7 linked regions of the Coturnix japonica genome follow. The protein of the gene in region 1 interacts with the protein of each later gene in a pairwise test. Links are inferred from orthologs where the notes say so. Each region holds a gene or a part of one and is shown in the gene's direction. Other genes may lie near its edges.

What was found.
Region 2: the proteins of GOLGA2 (region 1) and KIAA1217 interact in binary tests that used the Homo sapiens proteins (3 or more experiments, as listed by UniProt). The two-hybrid records come from large-scale screens. The link is inferred for Coturnix japonica from reciprocal best matches to the Homo sapiens genes GOLGA2 and KIAA1217.
Region 3: the proteins of GOLGA2 (region 1) and FAM124B interact in binary tests that used the Homo sapiens proteins (3 or more experiments, as listed by UniProt). The two-hybrid records come from large-scale screens. The link is inferred for Coturnix japonica from reciprocal best matches to the Homo sapiens genes GOLGA2 and FAM124B.
Region 4: the proteins of GOLGA2 (region 1) and CDC73 interact in binary tests that used the Homo sapiens proteins (3 or more experiments, as listed by UniProt). The two-hybrid records come from large-scale screens. The link is inferred for Coturnix japonica from reciprocal best matches to the Homo sapiens genes GOLGA2 and CDC73.
Region 5: the proteins of GOLGA2 (region 1) and SNW1 interact in binary tests that used the Homo sapiens proteins (3 or more experiments, as listed by UniProt). The two-hybrid records come from large-scale screens. The link is inferred for Coturnix japonica from reciprocal best matches to the Homo sapiens genes GOLGA2 and SNW1.
Region 6: the proteins of GOLGA2 (region 1) and RAB2A interact in binary tests that used the Homo sapiens proteins (3 or more experiments, as listed by UniProt). The link is inferred for Coturnix japonica from reciprocal best matches to the Homo sapiens genes GOLGA2 and RAB2A.
Region 7: the proteins of GOLGA2 (region 1) and INPP5J interact in binary tests that used the Homo sapiens proteins (3 or more experiments, as listed by UniProt). The two-hybrid records come from large-scale screens. The link is inferred for Coturnix japonica from reciprocal best matches to the Homo sapiens genes GOLGA2 and INPP5J.

What each region holds. Positions count from the first base shown.
Region 1 is NC_029532.1:3,735,480-3,739,962, forward strand, and holds the start of GOLGA2 (golgin subfamily A member 2), read left to right. Parts: upstream 1-1,333; 5' UTR 1,334-1,422; coding exon 1,423-1,686; intron 1,687-3,014; coding exon 3,015-3,137; intron 3,138-3,456; coding exon 3,457-3,537; intron 3,538-4,483. Other genes in the region: DNA repair protein SWI5 homolog, read right to left, coding at 175-269, 973-1,079, 1,134-1,145. UniProt on the Homo sapiens protein: Peripheral membrane component of the cis-Golgi stack that acts as a membrane skeleton that maintains the structure of the Golgi apparatus, and as a vesicle thether that facilitates vesicle fusion to the Golgi membrane.
Region 2 is NC_029517.1:15,319,764-15,322,544, reverse strand, and holds the end of KIAA1217 (sickle tail protein homolog), read left to right. Parts: intron 1-226; coding exon 227-721; 3' UTR 722-1,813; downstream 1,814-2,781. UniProt on the Homo sapiens protein: Required for normal development of intervertebral disks.
Region 3 is NC_029524.1:6,955,044-6,959,666, reverse strand, and holds the start of FAM124B (protein FAM124B), read left to right. Parts: upstream 1-1,544; 5' UTR 1,545-2,237; coding exon 2,238-2,969; intron 2,970-3,706; coding exon 3,707-4,258; 3' UTR 4,259-4,623.
Region 4 is NC_029523.1:3,292,425-3,296,473, reverse strand, and holds part of CDC73 (parafibromin), read left to right. Parts: intron 1-1,424; coding exon 1,425-1,586; intron 1,587-3,428; coding exon 3,429-3,529; intron 3,530-4,049.
Region 5 is NC_029520.1:35,702,654-35,707,228, reverse strand, and holds the start of SNW1 (SNW domain-containing protein 1), read left to right. Parts: upstream 1-1,395; 5' UTR 1,396-1,500; coding exon 1,501-1,514; intron 1,515-2,079; coding exon 2,080-2,233; intron 2,234-4,231; coding exon 4,232-4,393; intron 4,394-4,575. UniProt on the Homo sapiens protein: Involved in pre-mRNA splicing as component of the spliceosome. As a component of the minor spliceosome, involved in the splicing of U12-type introns in pre-mRNAs.
Region 6 is NC_029517.1:102,066,907-102,071,557, forward strand, and holds the start of RAB2A (ras-related protein Rab-2A), read left to right. Parts: upstream 1-1,570; 5' UTR 1,571-1,868; coding exon 1,869-1,914; intron 1,915-4,651.
Region 7 is NC_029530.1:8,880,781-8,883,628, forward strand, and holds the end of INPP5J (phosphatidylinositol 4,5-bisphosphate 5-phosphatase A), read left to right. Parts: intron 1-132; coding exon 133-270; intron 271-478; coding exon 479-571; intron 572-705; coding exon 706-810; intron 811-933; coding exon 934-1,554; 3' UTR 1,555-1,977; downstream 1,978-2,848. Other genes in the region: PLA2G3 (group 3 secretory phospholipase A2), read right to left, coding at 2,466-2,655, 2,733-2,848. UniProt on the Homo sapiens protein: Inositol 5-phosphatase, which converts inositol 1,4,5-trisphosphate to inositol 1,4-bisphosphate.

The sequences.
Region 1 (4,483 bases):
CACAGAACCACCCACAGCCAAGGAACCAAAGATTTCCAGCTGTGCCCCCACTTGGTTTTGTTAAGGAAGCTGAACACTGAGGATTCTTTGAAACAAGCTTTGCCTTTAAGGCATCAATATCTCTTTATATAACAAGATTTGCTTCACCAAGAGCTTCTTCAATAGTTTTCTTACCCAGTTTGCCCAGCAGCATCTGCCCAGCATCTTTAATTTCATTATACTCATGGAGCAGAGAGATGTGCTTCTCCAATTCCTCCACATTGTACCCTCTGTAACAAAGCCACACAACAAAACCACTGCGGAACAAAGCAATATCTGAGGTGTGCAGAGCCAGCCTGGTCAAACCCATCATTGTTTAGAGCAATGATTTTGGGTTGGATAGCAGGAAAAACGCCTTTCTCAGAGTGGTGGGGCATTGTACAGCACAGGGATGGAGGAGCCCCTATCACTGCAGGTGTTCTAGAGCCATGGGGACGTGGAACAGAGGGACGTGGAATAGAGGGATGTGGAATAGAGGGACGTGGAATAGAGGGACGTGGAATAGAGGGACGTGGAATAGAGGGACGTGGAATAGAGGGACGTGGAATAGAGGGACGTGGAATAGAGGGACGTGGCAGTGGGCACAGGGTGGGGATCAGAGCTCTTTATCAGCCTTCATGTCTCTATGATTAACCCCCACCACCTCATTCAAACCAAGTGTCCATGGCCTCACACAGACCAAGGGAAACGCTCATCCAGGCAGCTGGGCAGCGGCCTCAGCTTGAGATCTCAGCTTATATACATCAGCAGCTCTGTTAGCACAACGTGTGCTGCCATCAGCTATAGAAACACACCCGTTACTTCCCAATGTACATCAGCAGGGGAGCTCAGAGCCTGACCAACACAGCACTGGGGAAACAACGGGGAAGGAGCTCCCTGCTGCCGTGCATGGATCCCATAACCCTTAGGATGGCCGCGGTACCGGGGCTGTACCGGGACAATAACGGGGCCGTAACGGGGCTGTAACGGGGCCGTACTCGGACAGCAGCTCCGCGATCTCCCGGTCCAGAGCTCGCTCCTTCTCTTTCAGTTCTTCGATACTATCGCACGATGCTCCGCCCGTTGTGCGGGATGGGGCCGGGCGCTGCGGGGACACGGCGCGTCATGGCGGTTATTGAACGGCACCGAGAGGAGCCGGGGGAACGGGACGGGATGGGACGGGATGGGCGGCTCACCGGGGATCTGAAACCGGCACCACCGCTCCGCCGGGAACCGCCGAGAGCCCTGAAACAGCGCGGGGAGCCCCGAGTCAGCACATAGAACCGAACCGAACAGAACCGACCCGTTCCGCTCCTACCTGCGCTGCGGGGGCGGCGCGTTGCGCCCCGAACCGGGACCGCTCTGCTCCGCCAGGGCCGCGGCCTGCACCGGCAGCACGGCACGATGGGAACCGGAACGCGGGGCTGCGATCATCCGCCGTGGGCGGGCACTGAGCGGGGCGGGACCGGCCGCCATTCACGGCCCAGACCGGGCGGAGGGGCCCGGCCGAGCCCAGGCCGCGGGGTGGGGCGGGTGTCGGGGCGGGTGTCGGGGCGGAGCTCTGCCCGAGCACAGCGCCGCTCCACCCGGCGGCTGACGTGGCCCGGGAGCGGGGCGGACATGGCGGACGGCAGCAGGCAGAGCAAGTTGGCGGCGGCCAAGAAGAAGGTGAGGGCGGGGGGTTGTGCTGGGCCGTGTTGTGCTGTGTGGGGCCGTGCTGTGCTATGTGGGGCCGTGTTGTGCTGTGTGGGGCCGTGTTGTGCTATGTGGGGCCGTGTTGTGCTGTGTGGGGCCGTGTTGTGCTGTGTGGGGCCGTGTTGTGCTGTGTGGGGCCGTGTTGTGCTATGTGGGGCCGTGTTGTGCCGTGTTGTGCCGTGCCCGTAGCGTTGCGGTGAGGCCCGGCCCGGTCCCGCAGCTCCTTGTCGCCCCGGTGGGGCCGGGCCTGTGTTGCTGCACTGCTGCGTTCTGTGTGTGCCGCTCTTTCCCGTTCGGGTTTCCTCTCCATCTCCCTCTTTTCTTCTCCTTTTTCCCTCCTTTCTTTTCCCCTTTCTCTTCCCTTTTTACCTTCTCACAGCTCGGCCCGCTCCGTCCCATCGCGATGCCCTCCCGTGTCAAAGTCAAACGAATGGGAAAGTGCCCCGGAGCAGCTCGGGCTCCATTTTGAAATCCTGCCGAGGATCCTTTTCGTTCCGGTGCTTTTCACCTTGACGTTTAAGCTCAGCCCCGCGTTCCATGGGCGCTCACAGCCCCGAGCTGCGGCCATTTGTGCTGCTCTGAGCTTCTCCTGGGCACAACGGCCTCCAATTGAGCATCCATCGCAGTGTGCTCATCCCCGCAGTGCTGGCAGTTTAGGGGGAAGTTCTTCACTAGGAGAGTGGTGAGGCCCTGGAACAGGCTGCCCAGGGAGGTTGTGGATGCCCCGTCCTTGGAGGTGTTCAAGGCCAGGTTGGACGGGGCCCTGGGCAACCTGATCTAGTAAATGTGTATGTTTGGTGGCCCTGCCAGGCAGGGGGTTGGAACTACATGATCCTTGAGGTCCCTTCCAACCCGGGTCATTCTGTGATTCTGTGCCTGTATCAGTGTGTTACCTGCAGGGCTGTCGTTCTCCTAAAGCTCTTTCAACATTCTTGTTCCATCTTATTATCAGACTCCACTTTTCCAGTTTGCATCCCATGTTATCGTTCTTTTTCCCTCGTTGCTGTTGGTTACAGATTTACAAACGTTGCTTCTTGCAGCATCAAGTTGTTTCCTGGGCACTTCCTTAGTTGGACAGCACTGACAGCTCTCGGTCTGTCACAAACCCATCACTCTCATTCTCCCTTTTGGAGCCTTTGAACTATTTTTAACGTATATCCATCTTTAAGGCCGGTTTCTCTTGTCCTTACAGCTCAGCTGACTCCTTACCCACTGGTTATGTTGTCATTTTCTTGTTGCCATTCCCTTCACAGAGGACATCTTCCATTTGGACTTCACATTAATCTTTTCTTTCCCCGCAGCTGAAGGAGTATCAGCAGAAGAACAGCCCTGGAGCGACTGCGGGAGCCAAGAAGAAACGAAAGAGTAAAGAAGGAAGTCGGCCTGAGACTCCCACAAACGACGGCCGACAGTCTCCAGAGAACGTGAGCGTCCCCCCCTTCCTCCCACGTATCCCCTCTGCCTCCAGCTTTGGTTTCCCAAACAGCACAACTGCAGCTGGGGGAGGGTTAAACAGTGTAATGTGAGCGGCTGAGGAGCCCCTGTTAGCAGCCTGTGAGTCAGGGTGTGTGCTGGAGCAGTGCTGGAGCGTTCAGAGCTGTAACGCAACCCTGGATGCACCCCGAGCTGCCTCTCCTCGGGGGCTGGGCGATGCCCGTTTCTTTGGCTGCCTTTGATGGACGTTTTTCTCTCTGTCCTTTTCTGAGCCGTTTCTCTTTTCCCCTTCTCTTTCGCCTCCTTTAGATTCAGAACATTCTGAAGGTGCTGGTGTCAGACCTTAACCGCTCCAATGGGGTAGCCATACCCTCATTGGACAGAAGGAAGGTGAGGCAGTGCTCCGTGTCCCTCTCACTGACTCGCTGTCCCCTCTGCATGCTTAACTTATGTTTTACACTGTGAATTCAGATGGAGCCTTGTTCTGGCATGTCTGCTGTTTTTATTAACACGGGGCTGTTTGTTAACATGCGTTTCCATCGCTTGTAAGTGCTTGTTTCCTCCTGTTTTCTGTCAAAAAATGCAAATATGTCACCCATGTCCAGTGCACGTCCCTCAGACAGCCGAGCTGGAAGGCAGAAAGGAGCAAACAGAGTTTGGGGTGAGGCAGTAAACCAAGTTAACTGCTGAGAGACGCTGTGTTAGGGAGGAGTAGTGCTTTATTCATGTGTATTTCTCCTGGTCTGTGTTGTTTTATTCACTTCAGTGCTGTGCTCCTGAAGGGCGAGTTTCTGCTCATGCCTGCCCTGAGCAAGCCTTTAGTTATTCCAGCCGCCCCATTTTATGACAGGTGATGAAACCTGCACAGGTGATGTACAGTCTGGCAAGTACCACAGTTCTAAATGTGCTTAGGCAGGAAGTCGGGTATTTCAAGTACTGCATTTACAGGCTTGAGTGTCTTCCCTCACTCCTGGGGGAGGAAGGGCAGGAAGGAGTCTGCTGAGCAATGGAAGTGTGTTCAGGTGCTAACTGTGCTGACAGGAGGACTCCTGTGAGCTCTTCATTATTTCATATATATTTATTATAAACAAACCTTATTTCATTACTTACTTCAAAACTGTTCACTGTGGAGGCAGAAGGAAGGCATCCTTCTGGTCGTCTCATTGACTTTTGCATCTTGAAGTGTTAAGTGAAAAGAATGTTCCAATCAGAACAAATGCAGGCCGTGTTTTTGAGATGTCCATGCGATGTTCCAAGTTTATGAGAGCTTGGACAAACAGAGGCCAAGTAACCTGTACGTGAAAGAAGCAAGGGAGTTCCTGACTTTCCTTGGAGC
Region 2 (2,781 bases), on another chromosome or scaffold:
ATAAACCGTAGGTCGCGCCTTCTCCTATCCGTGCGCTCTCTATCTCTGCGTTCTTTGTTGTGTACTTTGGGTTTTCTACCAGGTCCAGTCCTTTATGGCTGCCAAGACTTATCTCAGGCCTCGAGCTGTTAGCTCTTGCTCTCTGTAGGGCTGTTCTCCCAGGTCCTGTTGATTTGTCGTATTACTGGCTTTCTGACAAACTGTCTCCTGCCGTCTTTATTTGCAGGCTAATGGAAGTGCTAAGAAAGCTGGTGGGGACTATAAGGCTACTTCCCCCACCCTCCCTGCTTCTAAGATCCCTGCCTTTTCTCCCACTTCTGGGAAAAGCAGCTCTGCCCCCGCTCCCAGCAGTGACGGCCCTAACCCCCTTACCCCATCCGCAAAGCCCTCCGTGCCCCCCTCTGGCCTCCTCGGGCCCCAGGCAGGCCGCATGGCGTACTCGGCCTCCCTGATCCCCTCTGTCGCTAATGGCTCCTCCAAGTTCCAGAGCCCACCCTACGCCGCGAAGGGCCACCAGCTCTCCTTCTCGCTGCAGACTCAGAACGGCCGCCCGCCCCCTCCTTCCTCCTCCACCTCCCCCCCATCCTCCACCTCTCCCACCTCACTGAACCAAGGTGTGAAGAGCATCAGGACCATCCACACTCCCAGCTTCACCAGCTACAAGGCGCAGAATGGAAATGCCGGCAAGTCCGCCTCCCCCGCGGCCAAGGAGCCGGCCTAGAGGCTGCGTGCTGGATTGCCACTCCTTCCCTGCAGCCACTGTTCTAACCAGGGAGCATAACCATTTTGCTGTATCGCTGGAGGCTTAATACTAACCATGTGCTAAATACTGAGTTACTACACTAGAGTAGAGTGAAGCTTTTTTGTAAACCTGTTGCTGTTGTCATGATAGAAGAGCGTTTTCCCTCTGTAGGCAGCACCTCATGGTGGTGGTGTGTGGGTGTGAGCCGGGCGCTGAGCATGGCTACACGTGTGGCTGGCGTTTAGTAAGAGGTTTTGTATAAAGCTATTTTTCATTACGGGGACTAGACATGAACAGAGATAGATATACTGCAGTGTGATTATACACAACTGTAAAACTGAAATATTCCTCTTTTATTTTGGTGTTATTTAGCTTTGTTACAGATTTCTATTTTTGTCAACCAATGCCACGGTTCGTTTCGAGATCTTTTTGCCAAAATATTTTGATATTATCCTATAATGTACATTTGAAAGCAGTATGCTGGACAGTAAACCTCTGCACCACAGACAGACAGAACAAGACTGGTCTCAGTGCACAGGAGGCAACTCAACCTATTGCACTGCCGTTCAGAGTCTATTTAAGAATTCACCAAGCAGAGAAAAAAACCCACAAATAATAGTTTGACACACACAGGGAGTTGCCGATGATTATTTTCTTTCTTTCTGAGCTAAATTCACCCTCCTCCTTCAGCTTTCTTTTACTGGGACCTGGTAACCCATCGATGTACTGCATTGTGGATTTTAAAATGTACACTTCTGTACTGTTCTGTATACTGGCAAACTTTTTGTACATACCTATAAATAGATATAAATAAATAAATGCTGTATGTGGCTGGGCACTTGGCGTAGTTTGACCACACCAAAGTTAATTTTTATGCATGCTTTCAAAATATCTATGGGGCAGGGCTGAAACAGGTGGGTCACGGTCACACAGGAGGAAAAGCAGCAAGTTTGCAGAGCTCATGGTTTTGTAAATAAATTTATTGTATAACAAACACCCTGATGTAATATACAGAACTATGATAAGCAAAGATCTTTACAGAAATAAAGGGCTGCATGCTTATGTTTTCTACTTTGTCACTAATATTTTTTCTGGTGGTCACAAGCAGGGCTGTTTGTTTGCCTTAAAGAAAGAGGGAAACTACCAGGAAAAAAACAAAAACAAAAACAAAAACAAAAAAAAAACCGCTACCCTGATTTTCCCCAGGTTAAAGCCATAAGTAAGGATCAGTTTCAAAATGGAGTCTTTTTAATTAACTCAGACAAGAGTGAATTGCTTGGCTGCCGGGTTGGTTAAAAAGGCAGCAAGAAAAAAGGGGAGCACCAGAGTCTTGGGACTGATGAAATGAGGGATGGTCTGACCTCCCTGCTCTGCTTTGTTCCTTACAGGGGAGCAAGAGTTTTCTTGAAACTCATTTCAAGGCTGAGCCCTCAGAGGGTGCATCCCTTGCAGTGGAAACAACTCAGTATGCAAACATCAACTCGTACCTCACTGACAGGAACAGACTCGTGTTCTGGCAGTGCTTGTGCTGGTCCCCTGTGAAGGGGACATTTCTGCAGGCTGAGAGCCCAGCACTGTCCAGGAGCTGCAAAGCCAAATCGAAGCGCAGCACAACTCACAGCACTCTGAGTGTGGTGCTGGGCTCCAGCCATCTCCCAGCCTCTGCAGGACAGCTGTGGGCCCAAATCCATCTGACTCCCTGCTGAGTGGCAGCTCTCCCCACCTGCTTCAAAACTCACCAGTAAGGTGACACAATTAAGGCAGCAGCTTCTTAGACTTATGACTGCAAACTCAAGCTCTGGGCACCACTTGCACAATGCTCCATGCTGTCAGTCAGTCCTTTCCGCTCCCTGCTGTGTCCAACCACATCCTTCTTTGCCCAGGTTGGCATAATTCAGTGCTTGATTGCTACCTAAATAAGGGCTGTGCAATGACATGGCTTTAGAAGCAAGAGCACAGACTTTTATGCAAGTGAAGATACATTTCAAACAACTCTTTCTTCCCATACGGAAGGAGCGGGGAGTTTTCACAGAACCATG
Region 3 (4,623 bases), on another chromosome or scaffold:
TGAGTTGCTGTGTCCTGCTGACAGCGGGACTGAGCTAACCTGCTCTGATTGTGGCTCCATTTTTGTCTTGTTTTCTGCTTGGATCCTGATTTACCATGTGTGATGAGCTCTGTTTTCTGTGTCCAGTTGCTGATAGATCCCTGCCAGATCCTTTTTACTAGCTGGTTAAAAAGGAGAACTAAGGGACTACTTGGGAGAGAAGTCCCCTGTCGTAAGTGCAGTAGGTCAGACTGCTGGGGTTTTACTTTCCTCAGAACTGATGAATTTGGAGGCACGGTGCTTGGGGCAGGAGGCAGGCTGCAAAGCTTATTGTGCTCAAGTAGGGCCCTACTTCTGCTTTTTGTCTGAGTGCTGCTGTCGATGGCTGTCATTGGCCTTGGTGCAGGAAGAAATTGAAATCGGCAGGAAAAAAAAATGTCTTGAAGGCTAACGAGCCCAAGACAGTGCCGGGATTTAATGAGGGCTGCTTCTGTGATGCTGAGGTAATTCAGGCACCCTCCTGGAAGTTAATTACCGATGGTCTGCAATGCCTGAACCTTTGCCGTGTTGCTTCATTACAGAAGTTACAATGAATTTATTAAATCCTGCGGTGCGTCATCAGTCCTTGGGTGTCAGCTGGAGTGAAGGGCTCAGCACCTCAGGGCTGGGAGCAATCAAAGAGCTCATTATGGAAAGGAGTTATAATTCTGCTGTGCCCTTGCACTACAAGCCTTGAAACACATCACAGACCATATTCTGAGCCTCACACAATACAGTACTTGTTGGCTGTTTGCACTGGGCATTTATTTATGCTGGGCTTACTGATGTTCTATATTGGTGGTCAGTACGTCCCTCACGTGCTCTTACTCAGGTCAGCAATGCACAGCATGCCGTACCCTGTGCTGTGCTGCATGTTGCTGCTGTGTGTGGATGGTGTTCCGGGGCATTGTGGGAGCGCAGGCTGATTTTTCACATAGGGCTGAGCTGCTGTTCTCCTAATCTCTTACAGCAATCTTTCTTGGCATGCTGGGTAGGTCACAGTGAATAATGTGCTTTTCCGCTTGGCAGCCAGACTGGAAAGCTGGGGGAAGGGGAAGCAGAGGGAAAGTCAGGAGCTGCTCACATTTAGGGCAGCCTGCCTCTTTGTACCCTTCCCTGTAGCAAAGAGTTGATGAATCGCTTCCTTTTTCGGTGTTTCAGTAATACTCTGTGTTGTTCAGAGCTCATTTACAGCGCTGTAATGTTTTGAACACTCGCAGCCTTCGCTCTTCCTGTGATTGTCCAAGGGTTGGATGTTTTTGTCTCTGTCCCAACAGTTACTACTTGTTGGAAGTGCTGCAGCTATCTTTCTTAAGACCTTACATTACTTTGGTCTCATGACTGTATTTCTATTACTGAGTGTGATCTTTAAATAAAAGAAACGTGAAGCTCAGGTCCCTGTACCGTTAAACCCTGGAGATTTTCTTCAGGTGCATATAAAGCTAGGGCTGTATTTAATTAAAGGAGTTGGGGGGGGGGAGGAATAGTTCAAGTCCAGTGTTCTGGATAGCAGACCCCTGACCCTTGCACAGCAACTTGGGGTGGGCTGAGCAGCAAACTGCTGCCCCATGAGGTGCACAGCCCCGAGCCCAGGCTCCTCCTGCAGTGCCTGGGCCTGATTCATATTGGCCCTCATTGTTATCTCTCCTGTTCACATGTTTTTTTTTTTTCCTCTTTGTTAGCCTGCTTTCCTTCCTTGTTTTTAAAGAATAGCTTATCTGTGTGCCCCAGAAGGGTGTGACTTGGGGAGATCACAGCAAGCTGAAGTTCAGCAGCTGACTGCAGGAACACACGCTGAGGTTTTCACACACGGCGAGCACCCGGAGATATATGAGATGTGTGCAATTGGGAGAGCGACTGCACTCCTGCTTCAGCCCCCCAGCACCCTGCTCAAGGACAGTCACTGCACCACAACAGCGCCTCAGCGCATGTGCTGTGTGCACCTGGTGACCAGCTCTGGGTCACATTGCTGGGCCAGAACGTGCATCTGAGCTCTGATATGACGTGAGCAAACCAGAGCTGGTCCCATCACACCGTGGCACGCTTTCCTGCCTCGTGTGCGTGTGTGCAACCCTGTCACCTCATTGGGTTGTTGCAAAGCTTCTGAGTGATCAAGTTCTTTTTCTACCTCAGAGTGCAGTGCCTGTGCTGCTGCCACTCCGAACACTGCAGGAGGAAACTGGTTTTCGGTTTGGTTTTGTTTGTTGAAGAGGAGCTTTATGATGGGTGACAGAGCAGAGCCTCTGATGACTGTGCATCTTCTGGCCAACTCAGGATACTCGGCGTTCCTGCAGCAAGCTCTGGATCGTCTCATGGATTGGATCTGCCCAGATGTTCCACTTTTCTTTGTGTCCGAGCGAGCTGCTCCACTGAAATACTACGAGAGGTATCGCAGGAGGAACTGCGGCTTTCCTGGGATATCTGTCCTCCTTTTTCTGCATGAGGACCTGGGAGAAGAGCGGATCCTCCAGATCCAGGATCTCCTCCAGCGCCCACCCTGGCACCACCAGTGTGTCCCTACCACCTGGGCACGAAGCCCTCCCCACACACCAGCTCTGCAGGACTTTTATGGCTTGGATGACCAGATGCCGGTGTGGGGCATCCGGCGGGTGGGCTGCAGCCCCGAAATCCTGCGTGTGACCCTCTACTTCAGCTTTGATAACTACGACGATGCAGTGGGGCTGTACGAGATGATCCTACGGAAAGAAGCAACCACACGGAAAAGCAATTTCTGTGTCTTCATGCTCTATGCCACTAAAGCTATTGCGGTCCAGCTCTGCCTGAAGCAGCTGCCCATTGGGATGGCTGCTGAGCCCAAGGAGTCGTCGCTTTTGCAGTTCAAGGTGCAAGAAATGGGGCAGCTGGTGCCTCTCCTGCCCAATCCATGCGTTCCTATCAGCAGCACCAGGTGGCAAACACAGGACTACGAAGGAAATAAAATTCTGCTTCAGGTATGTGTGTGCACGGTGCTTGCAGACCAGATGCCTTTTGGGTTTTTCTATTCCAACAAAGAGCAGGACTGATTCAAAATGGAAATGAAGGTTTTGCTTGTCCGTATTTCGTTTTTAATTCATGAACTCAGCAACCAACTTCCAGTGCTACGATGTCATTGATAAATGTGAGCACGGATCCTTAGAATGCTTCCATATTGTTAGCACCCGAAGTAGAAGGTATTAGTTCTTTTTCGAGCCACTGAATTCACCTTTTTCCCTTTCCAGCCTGTTCTCTTTCTGATGCAACCTTATAAATGCTCCAGAAAGCAGAGTTTTAGCCCCGTACCATCCCAAACCAGGTGTTTTGCAAGTACAGCGCTGATGCAACATCACCCATGGTAGTTTTGTAATTGCAGTTGGGCAAAAGGGCTAAATAAATGCCATGGGAAAGCCGCCCCCTTTCTGTTGTGCTATGCAGCCCTGAGAGCATGCGAGCACAAATCAAACCAGGCTAAGATGGTGCTGAGGAGGTGGTGCTCACTGTGATTGTACGTGGGAGCAGGAGGGAAGTTCATCTGTGTGCTCTTTGCTTTGTAACAGCTCCTCACACCTCTGGCTTCCTTGGTTGCTATTTGGATATTTTTATTATTATTTGGATATTTAAATCATTTCAATGTATGTTCGATTTTCTTTATTTTCCTTTCTTGGTGAGGAAGTTCTTCTTTAAGGAAGTTCTCTCCACCTTTTCTCAACAGGTGCAGGACAGCTCCAAGCAGAGGGAAACAAGCTCTGTGCTTCCCAACCGGCGCAGTGCTGTTGCTGTGGATGGACTGCTGCACAGCCCTATTGCAGCCCCTCTCCCCACTCTGTGCAGCGCTGAGCAGGGAGGCCAGCAGGGCTGGGCCCTGAGGGGCAGGGTGACACCCGTGCCAGGCCATGCCCTCCCCATGCAGCAGCCCAATGGGAGCCTCTCTGGCTCTTCTCGGGGCACCACGATGCTCTCCCGCCATGTGCCCATGAGCAGCAGGCAGCAGAAGGGCTGGCCATGCCGGCCAGCAGCAGAAACCAACGTGGACACGGGGCTGGCTGTGGGCAGAACTGTGGGCTGTCACTGCTCACTGCAGCACAACCTTGTGCAGCCATGGGTGCTGAGTACGGCCTGCACCGCCTCGCACTGTGCACAGCCACCATCTGCTGTGGCCAACAGGAGGAAAGCAGCGGGACACGGGGCTCCAGGCTCCCGTGTGCAAACACGGAGAGACAGCCCTGGGACCAGGCCTGAGGAGGAAGAGGAGTTCTTCATATGACTGGAAACAAGCACATGGCAGGCTCCTCATTTGAGTGCTATCAACGTGATTTTGTCTGCAAGCACAGCAGCTGGGCTGTGTGTGGGGCGATGGAAACCTTGAGTGGGTCTGAAACAACAGAAGATGTGAGGCTGTGGGATCAAAGGACCTGCTGAAGAGCAAACAGGGCAGGAGAAAGAAATGAAGCCATGCAGGATGCAAGGATGTTGAAATGATGTGAGCTGCTGCTGGTGGGGTGCAGGCAGCACGTGATTTGTGATCTGCTTATTTCACTGGATGCTTAACAAAGAAACTCAAACTTTACACCCGCGTTTTCCTATGATCTATAAAGGTAGTGCTTTCCAGAGAGGTTTGGTGAGCTGGGA
Region 4 (4,049 bases), on another chromosome or scaffold:
TGATATTACGTCTGTAACACTTAACCTTATTCCCCCATGAAATGCCTCTTACGTTAGCATAAGGAAGAATTTTCAAGTGAATAATGAATATTCCTTTTAGTTGACTTCCTTTCTCTCTTTTCCTAGTAATTTGAAATGCAGTCTACCTAATGTTTAAGCTTATTCAAGTTGTTTTTAGAACTGAAGTTGGAATGGATCGAAGAGAATACCTTTAGAAATGGTTCAAACAGCGTACCCTTAAATGCAGTAATCTTTTAGTATGCACCATCTGTTCTATAATGAAGAGAAATGTCGACAATATAGTACTGTGTGTTTAAAATATAGCACCAATACTCCTGATACCTTTTACAGTTAAATATGCTGCTTCTTTTAGTCAGAAGTTCGCAAACAAAATGTCAGAAGCAAACAATATTAGGAGTGCAACTGAGGGTTCTGAATAGAACATTAGGGGAGAGAAGATAGTTCTGAGCTCATGCTCTCCTTAGTCCTTTGCTGGCCTGGAAGGTGATACTGGGTCACATCAGCAAACTTTGCTGTCATGTAGTTGCACTTCTTTGAAGTGCAAGATATTTTACCCTTCCTTGTTACAATTCCACTGAGATTCATCAAGAGCCTTACGTTAATCTCACAATTTTGGGAATTGCTGTGTGTATTTTGTTTTATTACTGTTATATAGAGGAGACTCTTTAAATGAAGGTAGAAAAATCAAGGGTTGAATCTGAAGCACTTGTTTTTTTTTTTACAGAGATGGAGACATAAGGATCACATTGTCCTTATTTTGCAAACATAATTGATCTGTCAAAGAAGCTATTTAAAATAAAAGGGAAGAAAAGAAATCGTAATTGTAGTATCATACATCAGATGAATCATCTAATAGTGTGAAATCACTGTCATAAAATTAATAAGTAATAATTTAAAAAAGAGAAGGAAAAACTCACCAGAAAACTGTCCCCTGAATGTTTTTGATCCAAAATCACAGCATTCGGTGGAAAGCATAATTGTGATGTGTATGTTTGAATTCCCTGAGGACAAGAGCTACAAAATGTGCTCTAGCAAGTAATCATTTTCTTAATGCATGAGCTTCCCTATGTAGTCTTTGATACCTGAAAAGAATTGGTTAATGTCATTCAGCAGGCTGTGATTTGGCTTTTCATCTGTTAATGTATTGGGTTAGGTAGGCAAGAGATGTCATCAACATATGATGGTTGTAGTTTTGAGGGGTAGAAGACCTTTGAGTACAACTGGTTTTATTGTAAGTGCTTATGAAACTTCATCTTGATGTACCAAATGGAGTCGTGGAGGTGTAGCATAGTGAAAGTGAGGTGGCTTCAGTGACTGCAATAATACAAGGATCTGCTCAAGTTGTTATGTTCCCTGTTCTGTTGAAGTACTTTTGTCTACTGACAGTTTCTTTATTCCCCAAGGTTTGTACCATCAGATGAAAAGAAGAAACAAGGCTGTCAACGAGAGAATGAAACTCTAATACAGAGAAGGAAGGACCAGATGCAACCTGGGGGAACTACAGTCAGTGTGACTGTACCCTACCGAGTAGTAGACCAACCTCTGAAACTAATGCCTCAAGACTGGTAAGATAGATTTCCTCTTTACTAAACTTCTTCATTGGGAGAGTGCAGAACTTGAAAGGAACCAATAAAATTATATTAAGTTGCATAAAAAATAAAGATGGGATTAGAAGAATGGATTTGTCTGTTGATTCTAAGGGATTCTCGTATCCAGGTTAAATGATATGCAACTGAAATAGCGTTTTACATTTTAATGTTATGAGCAGCACAATTATGTTCAGTTTGTCTGAAATATTCCAGAAATTCAAGTAGAAATGTTGATATGACTTTTCCAGTTTCTGATACTGTAGCATGCAAGTCATTGAAGTATGATGCAAGGCAAAAATCCTTTCTCATCTTCTTTCTGACTTGAGAGTCTATAGGGAAACTGCATTTTTGCAGACATCTTCAGCATCTGATACTGTAATTTTTCTTTTCCAGCAGTCAAAAGAAATGAACCATGGGTTCAGTAGTGAATCACATAGATTGAACTGAATTACACGATGGGAGCTGAGTTCTGAAGGGAGAACCTCAGCTGCGGAAAGGGAATCAGAAATAACTTTTCCTGTTTAAAAAAAAAAAAAAGCTGCAGAAAGATTTTGTTCATAAGCCCATTCTTTGATAGTACAAAAATGTGTTTCCCTTTGAATGAAACACATTTATAACATATGTTGTATTTATTGTATATCTGTGATGCAATGAAATAGTAAACATTTCTGCTACTTCCTCGTGGGCTTAAGGATATTAGGTGTGCAGGACATCTTTGCTGATTGGTTTTTTGAACCTCCAAAGTAGATTTTAATGGGGAGGATTATTTATTCAAGAGGTTCTGTTCTGAATTCAAGTTCTTGATGCAGAGAACACTTAATCAGCAGCCAGTGGTTTTGAAATTCTGATATCAGATAGCATTCACGATGTTTAATGCTCAAACCTTAAAATACTTCTGACCAAAGAGATCAAGTGCCCTGCTTTTGGAAGTGTTTGGTTTTTTTTTTTTTTTAGTTTATCCAAGGTACCATCAAATATTAGTATCTGGATGTGTGGAAATGTTGCTGTGACTTTTCAGCTACCCATTACAAAAGCTGCAACGTGCTCTTAAATGTTAAGCTTTAGGATTGTCTCCAAGTTCATACCCCCTCCTTCCCCTTAAAAAGAAGGAAACCCACCACCAAAAAGTCAAGCACACACACAACTCTTGTTTATTCTTTGCAATTTGTGATTCAGTAAACTAAAGTTGAGAATTGGGTTAGATATGCAGTAATTTGTTACAGTAGATAGGAACCATGCTTGGATAATGCAAGTGTTCAAGAAAGCAGACCATATGTGGCAGGATGTGCATTCTGAAAGGCTTCTTAGAAAATGTAATTAATATAAAAGCTTCATCTTAACAACAAATTTATTTTCACAAACAGCAGTTAATGGTTACATAGCCTCACAACATATGACTGACTATTTAACTGGAAGAAGGAATTCAGCACTGTCTCTTGTAATAAGATTTTAGTATAGAAGTTAACAGTATGCAAAATGATGGCTTTTAAATTGCTACATCTCAGTCAGTTTACACTGTTATTCATAGAGGATTATCTCTGAACTGTTAGAGAACTTTGAAAAACCAAAGAATAATGGCCAGAAATAAACACTATTGAGATAAATGAATCTGCAGAGAGCAGAGCTGAAAGGTAATTCATGTAACTTTTCTTTTTCACTTACTTTGTAATAGAGAAAGAGTGGTTGTACGGAAGATGCAATTGTTACATGGACTTGATTGCTGTTGCTTTAAAAAGAAACAGAACCAACAAACTATGTTAAGATAGGTTTCGTGATTAAGAAAATGTATTTCTCAACATCCATCTATTATGTTCACAGGGATCGTGTGGTAGCAGTGTTTGTACAGGGTCCTGCTTGGCAGTTCAAAGGCTGGCCGTGGCTCTTGCCTGATGGATCACCTGTTGATATCTTTGCTAAGAGTAAGGCTGTTGTTGTCATTTGTATTTTACTTTCTGTTGCTCTGTTTCTTGTTTAGCAGTATGCTTACCACATGGTGAAGTGCTGCCTGAGTACTGTTGTAATGGGGCAGTTTAGAAAGCATGGTCTTGCTACCTGTGTGAATACCCAAATATGAAGTTGACTTGTGCAACTTTTCTGTTTTATGAAAGCTCATGGAAACAGCTATTGTTTTGAGAAGTAAATTGATTTTCCAAGCCTTTTAAGTGTGCAAAAAGACCACATATATGCCATGTAGAAAAACAGGTTTACAAACTCTCTTGTGATTACATATGTGTTTGAAGAGAGGAATAACCAGCTAGTATTTTAGTAAGGAAGTTTTACAAGTATGCTGTGGTGTCTTGACAAAAACTTGAATGTCTAATAAGATGTAGGTACTTCCAGTATGTGAATTATATGCTTCCACTGCGTAGATCTGAAGTTTTTTCTATTAGCACTGTTATGTATGTATGCTTTGGTATATGCAGTGCACTTACACTGCAC
Region 5 (4,575 bases), on another chromosome or scaffold:
CAGAAATACACATTAAAGGAAGTGTTCTCAAAACCAGCTGTGGTATTCACATGAAACTAAAAATGTCCCCACTGACAGCAAAGCCAAGGATGAAGTGCCTCAACACTTTACTCACCATCCAGATTATTTTGGTCAACTTGTAGAAATTGATGCACGTGGAGATCTGATAGCATTCCTGCCCAGGAATGCTAAGCAAAAAAAGATAATGGTAAAAGAAAAATGAATGAATCTTTCTTTCCTAAGGATACATATCGGGATACATATCCTTGGGAAAAAAAATGGGTTTAAGGATCTCAGATCCATCCCTTGCTTATTGTTTCTTCTTATCAAAGAAGAATTCACCAGAGCTGGTATATCTGAATTATTACTAAGTCTGGTGCACACAAAGCCCAGAACAAACTAGGGGATACATGAAGATACATGGAAATGATCAGCTCACAGAGCTGGGAGTTTTCCAGGACAACACATTCTGTACTTAACCTCCGCTCCCACTTCACAGAATCACAGCATCACAGAATCGTAGGGGCTGGAAGAAACCTCCAGAGATCATCAAGTCCAACCCCCCTGCCAAAGCAGGTTCCCTACACCACGTCACACAAGTAGGTATTCAGGCGGGTCTTGAATATCTCCAGAGAAGGAGACTCCACCACCTCCCTGGGCAGCCTGTTCCAGTGCTCCGTCACCTGCACTATAAAGTTCTTGTGCCCATCCATGTGTAACTTCCTATGCTCCAGTTTCTGGCCGTTTCTCCTTGTCCTGTTTCCACACACTGCTGAAAAGAGTCTGGCCTCGCCGCTTTGCCTCCCACACCTCAGGTATTTATAGACCTGGATCAAGTCCCCTCTCAGTCTTCTTTTCTCAAGGCTAAACAGTTTGCTTAGTCTCTCCTCATAGGGGAGATGCTCCAGGCCCTTCACCATCTTTGTGGCCCTCCGCTGGACTCTTTCCGAGAGATCCCTGTCTTTTTTGTACTGGGGAGCCCAGAACTGGACACAGTCTTCCAGATCATGGTCTGTTTGAGTTTGTGTTTGCCTTACAGGTTGTGTTGCAAAACAGACCCCAAAGCTGTGTGTTTCCCACACAGCAGTAGATGATACATCACAGCACAGGAAGAAGTAGGAACTGCAGGAGGGAGAACAAGTCATTCCTCAGCTCCAGATAGGAACAGGGCTCCTGACCGGGAGCAGCGCTGTCACACAACACCAAGTCTGCTGAGAAATGACTGACAGGAAACGGTAGGAGAGATGGCAGATGAGCTCTGCTCGTGACAATTATTGATAAGCGATACATGTCAAAGTCTCGTATCCTCGGCTTTGTCTGCAGAGCTCCCAGTTGCCCTGGACACAAGGTGACATCTCAGTCACCAAGGCCATCGCCCATCGCTGTGACGCTGTGCCTACAACTCCCAGCTGCCCGCTGCGGCGCACGCGCATCGAGGCGCTCGTCCTTCCCTGTGCCCCCCCCCATCCCGCGGCCTAACTCCGAGTCGGCAGCGGCAAGATGGCGCTCACCAGGTGCGTCCCTCTGTCCCCCCGCTCCGTCCTCGTCGCTGTTGGTGTCTGGGGAAGCGCTGGGTGCTCGGCCCGGCGAGCGGCCCCTCCTGGGTGCGGGCCCACGGTCGCTGAGCAGCCCGGGGTGCGGTGTGCTGAGGGCCGGGCCTGCGGGAGCTGCCTGCGCTGCTCGCTTTGTGCGGCCTAGAGCGCGATGGGGCCTCCGCACCGCTGCGTGCTGCGGGGAGCTAACGCGGGTTTTGTGAGGGGAAGGATTGGTGCTGGTGGGATACCTGGTCGCTTTCCGGCTTTTCCTTCCCGTGAGGGATGTCTTTGTTACGAGCTGCTGCTCCGAGAGCGCGGCTCCGCGGCCTGCCCGGCTGTACCGAGCGGGGACGTGAACGCCGCCCGGCAGCGCGGGGGTGGCGGTGTGCAGTGCGCCGGGTCCGGACGGGGGAGTTGGAGTGTGTGGCTTTAGACCGGGGGTGTCCGGCTGGGGAGAACCACTCACGGGTTCGTCTGTGGGAATTCGCCTTTTTCAGAGCTGTTTTTTTATGTGTCTTTTTGGTGCCTGTCTGGGGACGTGCAGTTTTTTGCCAGCTCCAACCCAGTTGTCCCAAGACCAGCTCGAGCTAGAAGAAAGAGCGAGGGCGCAGAGATCCAGGCAGACTGCTCTGGTCTCATCACGAAGGGAGCCTCCCCCATACGGCTACCGGAAAGGATGGATACCGCGGACGTTAGAGGTAGGTGTTTAAACTCACCATATTATATTAGTACATCTGTGTTAGTGGGTAAAGTGTGTCTTTCCAGAGTAGAGTCAAACTATGAAGTTTCTTGAGATAATCACAGAGAATCGTGCAGGTTTACATGCAGAATTTCCAAGTTTCTTGTCATGGTAACGTGGGAATACGACTGTGGTCCTTTCTGTTTAAGGTCTGAATGTAGTGACCCTCTGAGAATGACACCCATACCAACCCTCTGTCATTATTTGTTAAATACATATCTGGATTAGAGGTGAAATAAGTAGATGGGTGTATAGCAGAGAAGAGAATACTTCTCATGTGTACTGTGTTCTTAAGGTAGCAAAAGGTAACTGCTCTTGGGGGGTGTTAAGTGATAGAAACTTGTTAGATGTGGGAGTGCTAGATAAGGTGACTTAAAGCAGTAGTTCCAGTGGTTCTCTAAAGTAAAATACTTTTATGGAATTTCAGCATTTAATAAAGGATGTGGTATTAAAATTTATAGTTCAGCTTTCTCCTTACAGTGCTCATTACTAAAGCTACTGTTCGAGTGCTTGTTCTAAATGCTGTGGGGGGGGGGGAACCTGACTTAACTTAGTTCTATTGGTTTCCAGTATCACTGGGCCAGAAAATGCAGCACATCTCAAAGACTTCTAGAAGATTCCCTTTTTGCCTCATAGACAAAACCAAAGAATAGTAATTGCTTGCAAGTATAGGCTTCATCTGCTTATCTACTCATAATTGAAAAACAGCATCTATTCTTAATAGATTTGGTCATGTAGAAAAACCTGAGAGATGGCTGAATTTAGTTCTGCATTATATTTCAGCACTGATTCTGTATCTAACTGTTGAACTGGATGCGGGGCATCCAATGGAAGACTTTAAACAACCGAAGTTGAATTTCAGTGTGCACTTGAGGCAAGCATGAATATGTGCTGCTCTGGAAAGAAGTGTTCTGCCCGATGATTCCAGTCTCAGCCCATGCTGTCTGTTGTAGTGGTGTTAACTGTTTGGTCTCATGGTGAATACGTGGGGATCAAGCTACCCAAGTCACCTGGTTTGCTGTTGGGCAAAATCAAAGCCATTGCAGCATGGTGAAAGGGCACAGTAGTGTTGATTAGAGAAAATGCTTCCCCTGGGGTTTTGAAACCATAGCCTGAAATTGGTTTAGCGATTGTGTGCCAGTTCTGTTTGCATCTTCAGTACTGAGTCACAATGGTCTGCTTAAAGAGGTCTTCCATTTATTCTGCTCCTTAAATAGTTTTAAAGCAAGAAATTGAACAAGAGGAAAAGTAAACTGTTAGGAACACGAAGCTATTGGTTGCTTGTCCTGTTTTCAAGTTGTGTCAAAATAAGGAAATCGATATCTTGGCATTTGTACCATTGTAAAGCTGTGAGCTGCAGGCTTGAGAGGGCTGGAAAGCTTTATAAATTTCTTCACCTAATTATGGTAGGATAACTAAAATTACAAGAATAGCAGTTTTGTGATGAAAATCTCTAGTGGTTAATTTTTGTGTATTTCAGCGGTTGCTTTATTGCTGCAGATAAATTCTAGAAGTTGTAATTAATAACCTGCATGTGAATTAAATACTTGATCATTTACCGCCTGTCATGCTGTAGTGCCTGCACATCCAGCCAGTGATAAAAGAAGTTTCTCTGTGAAAGGAATAATTGTAGAGAGTTTCCTGCAGGATGTCTTTGTATTTCCATTTCACAAGTGTAAGCTGTAGTCAGCTGTTCTCTTACAAGCCAGAACAGTAATGCTGCTAGAGCATTTCTAGCAGTGTTTCATGTTAAAATCAGTCCACTCTTTTGTTCCATTTCCACCCATGCAAATGTTATGACCTGGTCTAGTACCTGATCTGGAGGGTGGTGGGCCCTGCCTGTGGGTTGGAACTTGATGATCCGTAGGGTCCCTCCCAACCTAAGCCTTTATACAATTCTGTAGTTATACCATGTTTTTGTCTTTCAGTCATTCTCTACCTTTTTGTGTGTGTGTAGGATTTTGGAGATGGAGGTGCTTTTCCAGAAATTCACGTGGCCCAATATCCATTGGATATGGGCCGAAAGAAGAAAATGTCCAATGCTTTGGCTGTTCAAGTGGATGCAGAAGGAAAAATAAAATACGACGCAATTGCTCGACAAGGACAATCAAAGGACAAGGTAATGCTTTTTTCTAAGACGTGGATTGTGACACACACCTGGAGAAGTCACACGTTGCATGTACTTGTGGTCATTGCTTTGGCATTAGATAAATTAAATGAATTACCTCCTTGAAATATGTTCCTGTTTTCCTTAAAGTTAAGAGCTGAAATGATGTCAGACAGATGTGAGCATTTAGACTA
Region 6 (4,651 bases), on another chromosome or scaffold:
AGGCGGTTTTAAAAGGGGAGGGTCCAAGAGAGGGTCTGCACCAGACACAGCTGCACCAGCTCTATCAGCAGCAGCCCTTGTTACACCAGATGAGATGGCATCTTATCTGCCATACAAACCAGTGAGAAGAGCATGAACACCAACTGAAGTTATTACAGAGGTCAAGCAAGCACTTAGAAATACTTGTTCCAGTCTGAATTCTGTACTGGATGCAATAAATGATCCCAGCTGCAACTTTTCCTTCAGCTAACGCCTCTACCATGAAAATTATTGGGAAAGAAAACAGACCCTTTAGACACAAAATACATGAAAGCAGAGACTAATTTTCATAGAATGTGTGACAAAGTAAGAGAGTGACCAAAACTACTAAAATTAAGTGAAAGGAAAAGTAGTGTTTCATAAGAAGATATCAAATATGTAGCTATATTTGTGTAGTAACTGGATTGAAGAGATTCAGGATGAAAAATTAAATTTATATGATGCTGCAATAAAACCAAACTACATTCAGAGAGGAATCAGACAGGAGATAACACTTTGTTTTGAGGTGAGGAGGCTGGTGTTATCGATGACTGAGAATGCCTCTTTGGGACTCTACATTGCTGATAGTATTGGAAAAAGAACATAAGTACAGAGGAGGAAATAAACAGCAAGAAACAAGTCTGGCAAAGGAACACGTTTTTCATGCAGTGAAGTAGATATAATTTGTATGTAAAGGGAAGACTAGAAGAAAAAAAGCTTAATTGTATCACAGTATCACAGTCTCGTGCAGGTTGGAAGGGACCTTAGAGATCATCGAGTCCAACCCCCAGGATTCGAGCCCCTGTGTAGCAGAGCGGCACTTCTACCAACTACTACTACTTCTTTGTGTGGGAAATCAGTATCACTCAATATGGAGACAGCATTTGGGACACTGAGCAATCAGCTTTATTGAAGGTTTTTAAGAGTAAGTTAGTCACACAGCTCATAGAAGCGTCGGAAATCAGTGCTGTCCAACTTCCTGACCTGACTCATCACAAGTTAAAGTCTTTATAAAGTTAAAAGCTACCAGACTGGTACAGCCAGGAAGGCCGATCTGCGAGTCTATGAGAAGAAAATGGCTCTTCAACAGTTCCACCAATTCACACCAATTTACCAACCCAAGTTTCATCAGCCTTATCTACAGACAACAGCCCTTCCCTCAGCACCTGATGTGCGTGGAACCAGCCCAGGTGCCAAGCCAATGTGCCAGCTCAGGGGCCAAAGTCCTGGGTACACAGATTGCTCCATAGAGCAGCGCTGAATTATGAACACCTTGAAGTTTATTTCAACTCATTGGGCCTCAGTAACCCCGAGCCTGTAAAAGCTGTTCACAATTAGGGATGCCTTGCCGGCTGACTGCCTACAGCTTGATGAGGAAAGACAAAAGAACCTTTCTCAATCCAGAACTCAAACACGGTATATAAGGAAAACCAGTGTGGAGTTACACATTAGGGTTCCAGATTACTACAGAGCGGAGGGGGCGGTGCGCACCGCCGAGCTCCGCCCTTCACGCCGTCGTGAGGCGCCGCGGCTACCTCAGCACATCCGGGTCGGGGGCGGGGCCGGGCTCGGAGGTTGGTGCGTGACGTTGCCGGAGGCTCCGGGCCGCTCGGCGCCTGTTATTGTTCTCGCCCCGCGCTTCCGAACGCCGCCGCGTCCTTCCCGGGCGCCTCGGGAGAGGAGCGAGACGGAGAGAGGCCGATAGGGGCGGGAGGCGGCGGGGCTGAGGTCGGAGGGAGCGGCCGTTATAACCGTATCGAACTCTCCGCAGCGCGATCCCGGCCAGCGGGGGCGGGGGGGAAGAGCGCGCACGTCACGAAGGAGCGAGCGAGAGGCGGCAGCGGGCGGCCATGGCCTACGCGTATCTCTTCAAGTACATCATCATCGGGGACACGGGTAAGCGGACGGAGCCGGGGGCGGGCGGAGCGAGCGCGGGGCCCGGCTCCCCGTCCCCATTTCCGCAGTGCTGGCGTCGCCGACGTGGTGGCTGCGAGCGGGGAGGCGGCTCCCCGCCCCTGCGCCCGGCCCCGCCCGGGGCCTCCGCCCGCCGCGCGGCCTCGGGGCCTCGGGGCCCGCCGCCGTCTCTCCGGCGTTGCCTGCGGCATCCGGCGGGCTGGAGAGCGGCTGTCCCCGCCCGCAGGCCGCTGTGCTGTGCTGTGCCTTCCGTGAGGGCCCGGCTGCAGATGCTGGGAGGCCTGTTACGGTGTCACAGCGTGCTGCCGGAGGGAAGCGGAAAGCTTTGTCTCTTTTTCGATGTATGCGATTTTTATTTTTCGGACCGCTGGTGCTGTGTGTTGAGTCGGTCTCATCCCTTCTCTTATTTTCCTTCGTAGAAACTTGTGGTGTGATGGTTGTCAGTGCCACGTAGCAAATAACCCCGCGTACTATTGCTGCGGGCATAACCGTACACTGATTGAAACTGCTGTCTGATGCTTCTTACCCAATGTGCCATATTCCTTGCCCCGTCCTTGGAGGTGTTCAAGACCAGGTTGGACGGGGCCCTGGGCAACCTGATCTAGTAAATGTGTATGTTTGATGGCCCTGCCAGGCAGGGGGGTTGGAACTACATGATCCTTGAGGTCCCTTCCAACCCGGGTCATTCTGTGATTCTGTGCCCTTGGCACAGGGTGGATGTAGGTAGCGTGTTTCCATTCCAGCTGTTGTCAGGGGGAGGTAACTAACGTAGTTAGCTATTGTGCCTATGCATCATACATCTTCCTTGTTGTTTTCCTCATACCTGAGTAAATGCCTCCTCTAGTACATACCTTGGATGACGCAGGCATCATCTTAGATACTCTTGCAGGGATACTTCCATAATTGTACTTCATGAGCCATGTTGTAGGTAGAGTGTAATTAAACATGGCAGATGTGTTACATGTGAGGTTACTAAATATACTGGTTGCAATTACTACATTTTTAGAGGTCTTTTTCCATTTTTTTTTAAGTCTGTTTTTGAACTCTGCAGGCATTTTTTAGGCTGGTGCAGTAGAAGCTGTAGTACAAATATATGTTAAGTGAGGTATCCCAGTTTTAACTACCATTTTGGAAATGTTAGGTTTGAGATAAGTGAAAATCCAGTTGTTTTTTCTTGACTGTTTATGTGAGTGACAGTTCATTAACCCAAAGGACAGGAGAACACCTGGGCAGCTTCAGGTGAAGAAGCAAGTTTATCTTCCCAGGAGAATGCAGAATAGTAATGCCGAGTTCAGAGTGATGGCGCCTCAGAACAGGTGATCAATTGTGCTGCATTTCTAAAGCTGTGATCGCTGAAGTGGTAGGGAAGACAGCAAACAACTGCTTTGCTATATTGATTGTATGCTGATTAAATTTTTAGAATGAACTTTCTATAGTGCAGCAGTCCGTGCTGCAATTCAGTTGCATGAAATGAGAAATGCAGAATTGATGTGTGTCACTCCTGTCTCTGTTTCAGCTTCTTGAGAGCCAGTTATGGGTATAGTAAGATAGAGAAGGGAGATATGGGAAAGAAAACATGTCAGAAATTTATCTTTTGTTTGTTTTGTTGTTGGGTTTGTGGTTTATTTGGTTTTGGTGTGTTTTTTTTAGTTTCTTCGGTTTTTATTCAGAGTTGCTCTAGTGACAAGTGACAGGACAAGGGGAAATGGCCTCAAGTTGCGCCAGGGCAAGTTTAGGTTGGATATTAGGAAGAACTTCTTTACAGAAAGGGTAGTTATGTACTGGAATAGGCTCCCCAGGGAGGTGGTTGAATCGCCATCCCTGGTTGTGTTTAAGAGCCGTTTGGATGTGGTGCTCAGGGATATGATTTAGTGTAGGGTTTTTAGAGTTAGGGTACTATGGTTAGGCTGGAGTTGGACTTGATGATCTTCAAGGTCTTTTCCAACCTGGGTAATTCTATGATTCTGTGCTACAGGAAGCCAATTAAAACCAATGCAGTGATCATTTTTGAAGAAAATGAAATATGGCAGTAGCAGGAAGTTGCTTTTGCTTTCATTCAGATCTCCTATGAGTCTTTTAGAATTCTGGCATAGCTAGTACTGAAGAGACAATTCATGTTGTGCAGTTGTTTCTTGTCAAAAACACCGTGTTATTGCTACTGTAAACTCAGTCAAAGACAGTTGAACTGGTAGCTCTGATTATCACAGAATCACAGAATGACCCGGGTTGGAAGGGACCTCAAGGATCATGTAGTTCCAACCCCCCTGCCTGGCAGGGCCACCAAACATACACCTTTACTAGATCAGGTTGCCCAGGGCCCCGTCCAACCTGGCCTTGAACACCTCCAAGGATGGGGCATCCACAACCTCCCTGGGCAGCCTGTTCCAGGGCCTAACCACTCTCCTAGTGAAGAACTTCCCCCTAACATCCAACCTAAATCTTCCCTCTTTTAACTTAAAACCATTTCCCCGTGTCCTGCTATTGTCAGCCCTTTCGAAGAGTTTACTCCCCTCCTGAGTGTAAGTTCCCTTCAGGTATTGAAAGGCTGCAATGAGGTCACCCTGCAACCTTCTCTTCTCCAGGCTAAACAAACCCAACTCCCTCAGCCTGTCCTCATAGGGGAGGTGCTCCAGCCCCCGATCATCTTTGTGGCCCTCCTCTGGACCCTTTCCAAAATCCCCATGTCTTTTTTCTACTGAGGGCTCCACACCTGGTCACA
Region 7 (2,848 bases), on another chromosome or scaffold:
GTCTGCTATGTGACCACCATGGCTGGGGGCGGTGGGGGTGCTGCTCTTGGGGCTTGTGCTAAACAAGTGCTTGGGGCAGCACTCTGGCACGTGGCTATCTGCTCTTATTCACCATCTGCACGTCCCTGTCAGTTTCCTTACAAGGCAGACAACCCTCTGGTGGAGATCTATGTGGCTGATGAGTGGATCAGGCCTGAACAAGCAGTTGTCAAGTACAGGATGGCTGCTGGCTTCCACCGGAGCTCCTGGGACTGGATTGGCCTCTACCGGGTAGGGGCTGGGGTCATTAGCAGTGTGATGGGATCCCCTCTGTAGCTGCCCCCTCCCACCGATGCTGTTCCATGGCCTGGGTGTGGGCTCTCCCATTCTGGAATTCAGCACTTCTCTTTCTTCCACTCCGTGGGCTCCAAATGACCCGAATCTTTTGCTGGGGCTGAGAGAAGATGAAAAGCACCAGCTCACCTCCCTTCTTCTACAGGTGGGTTTTCGGCATCCCAAAGACTATGTGTCCTATGTTTGGGCCAGGAGCGATGATGGAGAGCGCTGTGTAGAGAAGCAGCTGTGTGCACAGGTGAGTCAGTGCCGTGTATGCCATGGAGTGAGGCAGCAGCAGTGTTTAGGTGGCATGGAGGGAGGCTCCAGGCCCATGTATGGGGGTGGCTGGGGGGGCAGCCCTGTGGTCAGCCTGGTGCCCATCTGCTGCAGGTGATGTTCTCAGAGGAAGCGCTGCCCAAAGGGAAGGGGGAATACATCCTCGGCTACTACAGCAACACCTCCAGCAGCATCGTGGGTGTGACAGAGCCCTTCCAGGTCAGCAGTGCCTCGAGGTGAAGGGTGGGGGGAGGGAGGTTTCAGCAGGGCAGGGTGTCCTGCTGTAGTGCCCCACAGCCCCCTGTGTGGGTCAGGGCCCAGTGCTGATGATGCGTGGTGCAGATCTCCCTGCCTAGATCCGAGGAGGGCAGCAGCCCTACGGACAGCTCGGGCAGCAGCTCAGAGGAGGAGGATGACAGCACACTTGTCCTGCTGGCCCCCAAATCCCGCAGCCCCAGCCCGGGCAAGATGAAGCGGCACCGGAGCCGCAGTCCCAGCCTGGCCAAGTTCCAGGGTCTCATCCTGCGCCCATCGAGCCGTGATCGGGGCACCAGCAGGAGCCCCTCGCCCCAGAGCCGCCGTGGCCTCACCGGGGACATCCCTGCCATCCACCTGCCCCAGTTGGAGCTGGGACGCCGTGGATCCAAAGCCAAGGAATCGGGGCAGGTGGTCAACAGCCAGGAGGGCAGCCCGGGCTCCTTCTACCAGACTGTGCAGCCATGCAGTGTCCGGCGTGCTGCTGTTGACAACCCTCTGGCCAGGGCTGACCCCAGGAATCTGGGCCTGCTGCCTGCGCTCCGCCTGGAAACCATTGACCAAGCCATGGGCCGACGGCGGGAGAGTGCAGACCAGGGCTACCCCTGCCGCAGGATGAGCCCCACCAGCCCTCCCTGCAGCACCTCCCCAAAGGAAGGGGGCAGCCCCCGGGAGTTGGATGGTTACAGCTGTACCATGGGGCGCTGAGGCTGTGCCCTCCTCCCTCCTCGCCGTAGCGCGCTTGCTGTGTGCTTTCCCGTGCCACGTCCCTGCTGTGAGCCATCCATCTCCCTTATTTATTGCAGTGAATCACCCCTGCACCCCTGCTGCGTGCCTGCCCTGCTCCTCCTGGGGCTGCAGAGGGGGCACAGGGGAGGGGGTGGTGGTGAGGGAACCCCTTGTGTGTGTCAGAGCTGTGGGACGCTCAGTCCGAGGGCAGGTGAGTGGGCCTGGGGGCTCTGGGGGGCCAGGGGCGGTGCTGCAAGTGAGGATGTGGCCCCCTCCCCCCCTGGGGCACAACACTGCTGCGGGCATCCTGCAGATGGGAGTTTGCTTCTTTCCTGCCCTTACCACTGTGCCTCGGGCTTGGACATAGTGTAAGCAACAAAATAAAGCATCCCGCCTGCCCCAGCTGCACTGTGCTTATTGCGGGGTGGGGGCCGTGGGGAATGCAGAACCCCAGCACCATGCACCGTGTCACGCTGCCCTTTATTTGCCTTGTGCCACATGCAGGCACTGACCCTCCCAAGGCACAGCACTGTGCTTCCCACCTCTAGAGCTCGGGGGGACCTGGCTCCCTCCACCACCACCCCCTGCTGCAGGGCCGGAACCTGGGGTTGGGGTCCTGGCACCGTCCTGCCCGGGGCTCCCACGGCCGCAGCATCCTCATGGGGACGGGGGGCGGTCGCTTTTCCCCGTCCCCGCTCCTTTCCCTTTGCTTTGATGGCGGCCGCAGCTCCTGGGGGTGGCAGCTGAGCCTCCTCCACCCCTCTCCTGCCCCACGCAGTCACGCCAGCAGCCACTCTCGGTGCCATCCTTTCTCTCAAGGACCCGACATTGAGCAGCTCCGCCCCGCAGCGCAGCTCCTCCCCACGCACGGTGCAGCCCACCCGCTGGGCTCAGCGGGGCTCGGGTTGTTGCGGGGCTCCCATCCCCTGTTCCAGGGCCACCCGCCGGCACCGTTCGTACAAGGCATCACCGCCGCTCTCCTGCGCGTTCCTCTCCCTTCGCTCAGCACCGCCGCGCCGCAGCGCGGTCCTCAGGTGCCGTGCGGGCAGCAGCACGGCCCGGGCTGCGGTGACACAGCTGCTGGAGGAGCAGAACAGAGCGTTACAACGAGCCAAGCTCCGCCAGCCCCGTCCCTGCCCCGGCCCCTTCGCACTCACCCGCTCGGTCGCTCCGCTCCGCACTCGGGCTGCGGTTCCAACACGAAGCAGCGCACGGCGATGCTTTCGGCCAGGAGGGGCGGCTCGGCGCCTCCGGGGCCCTTCGTCCTGCGCAG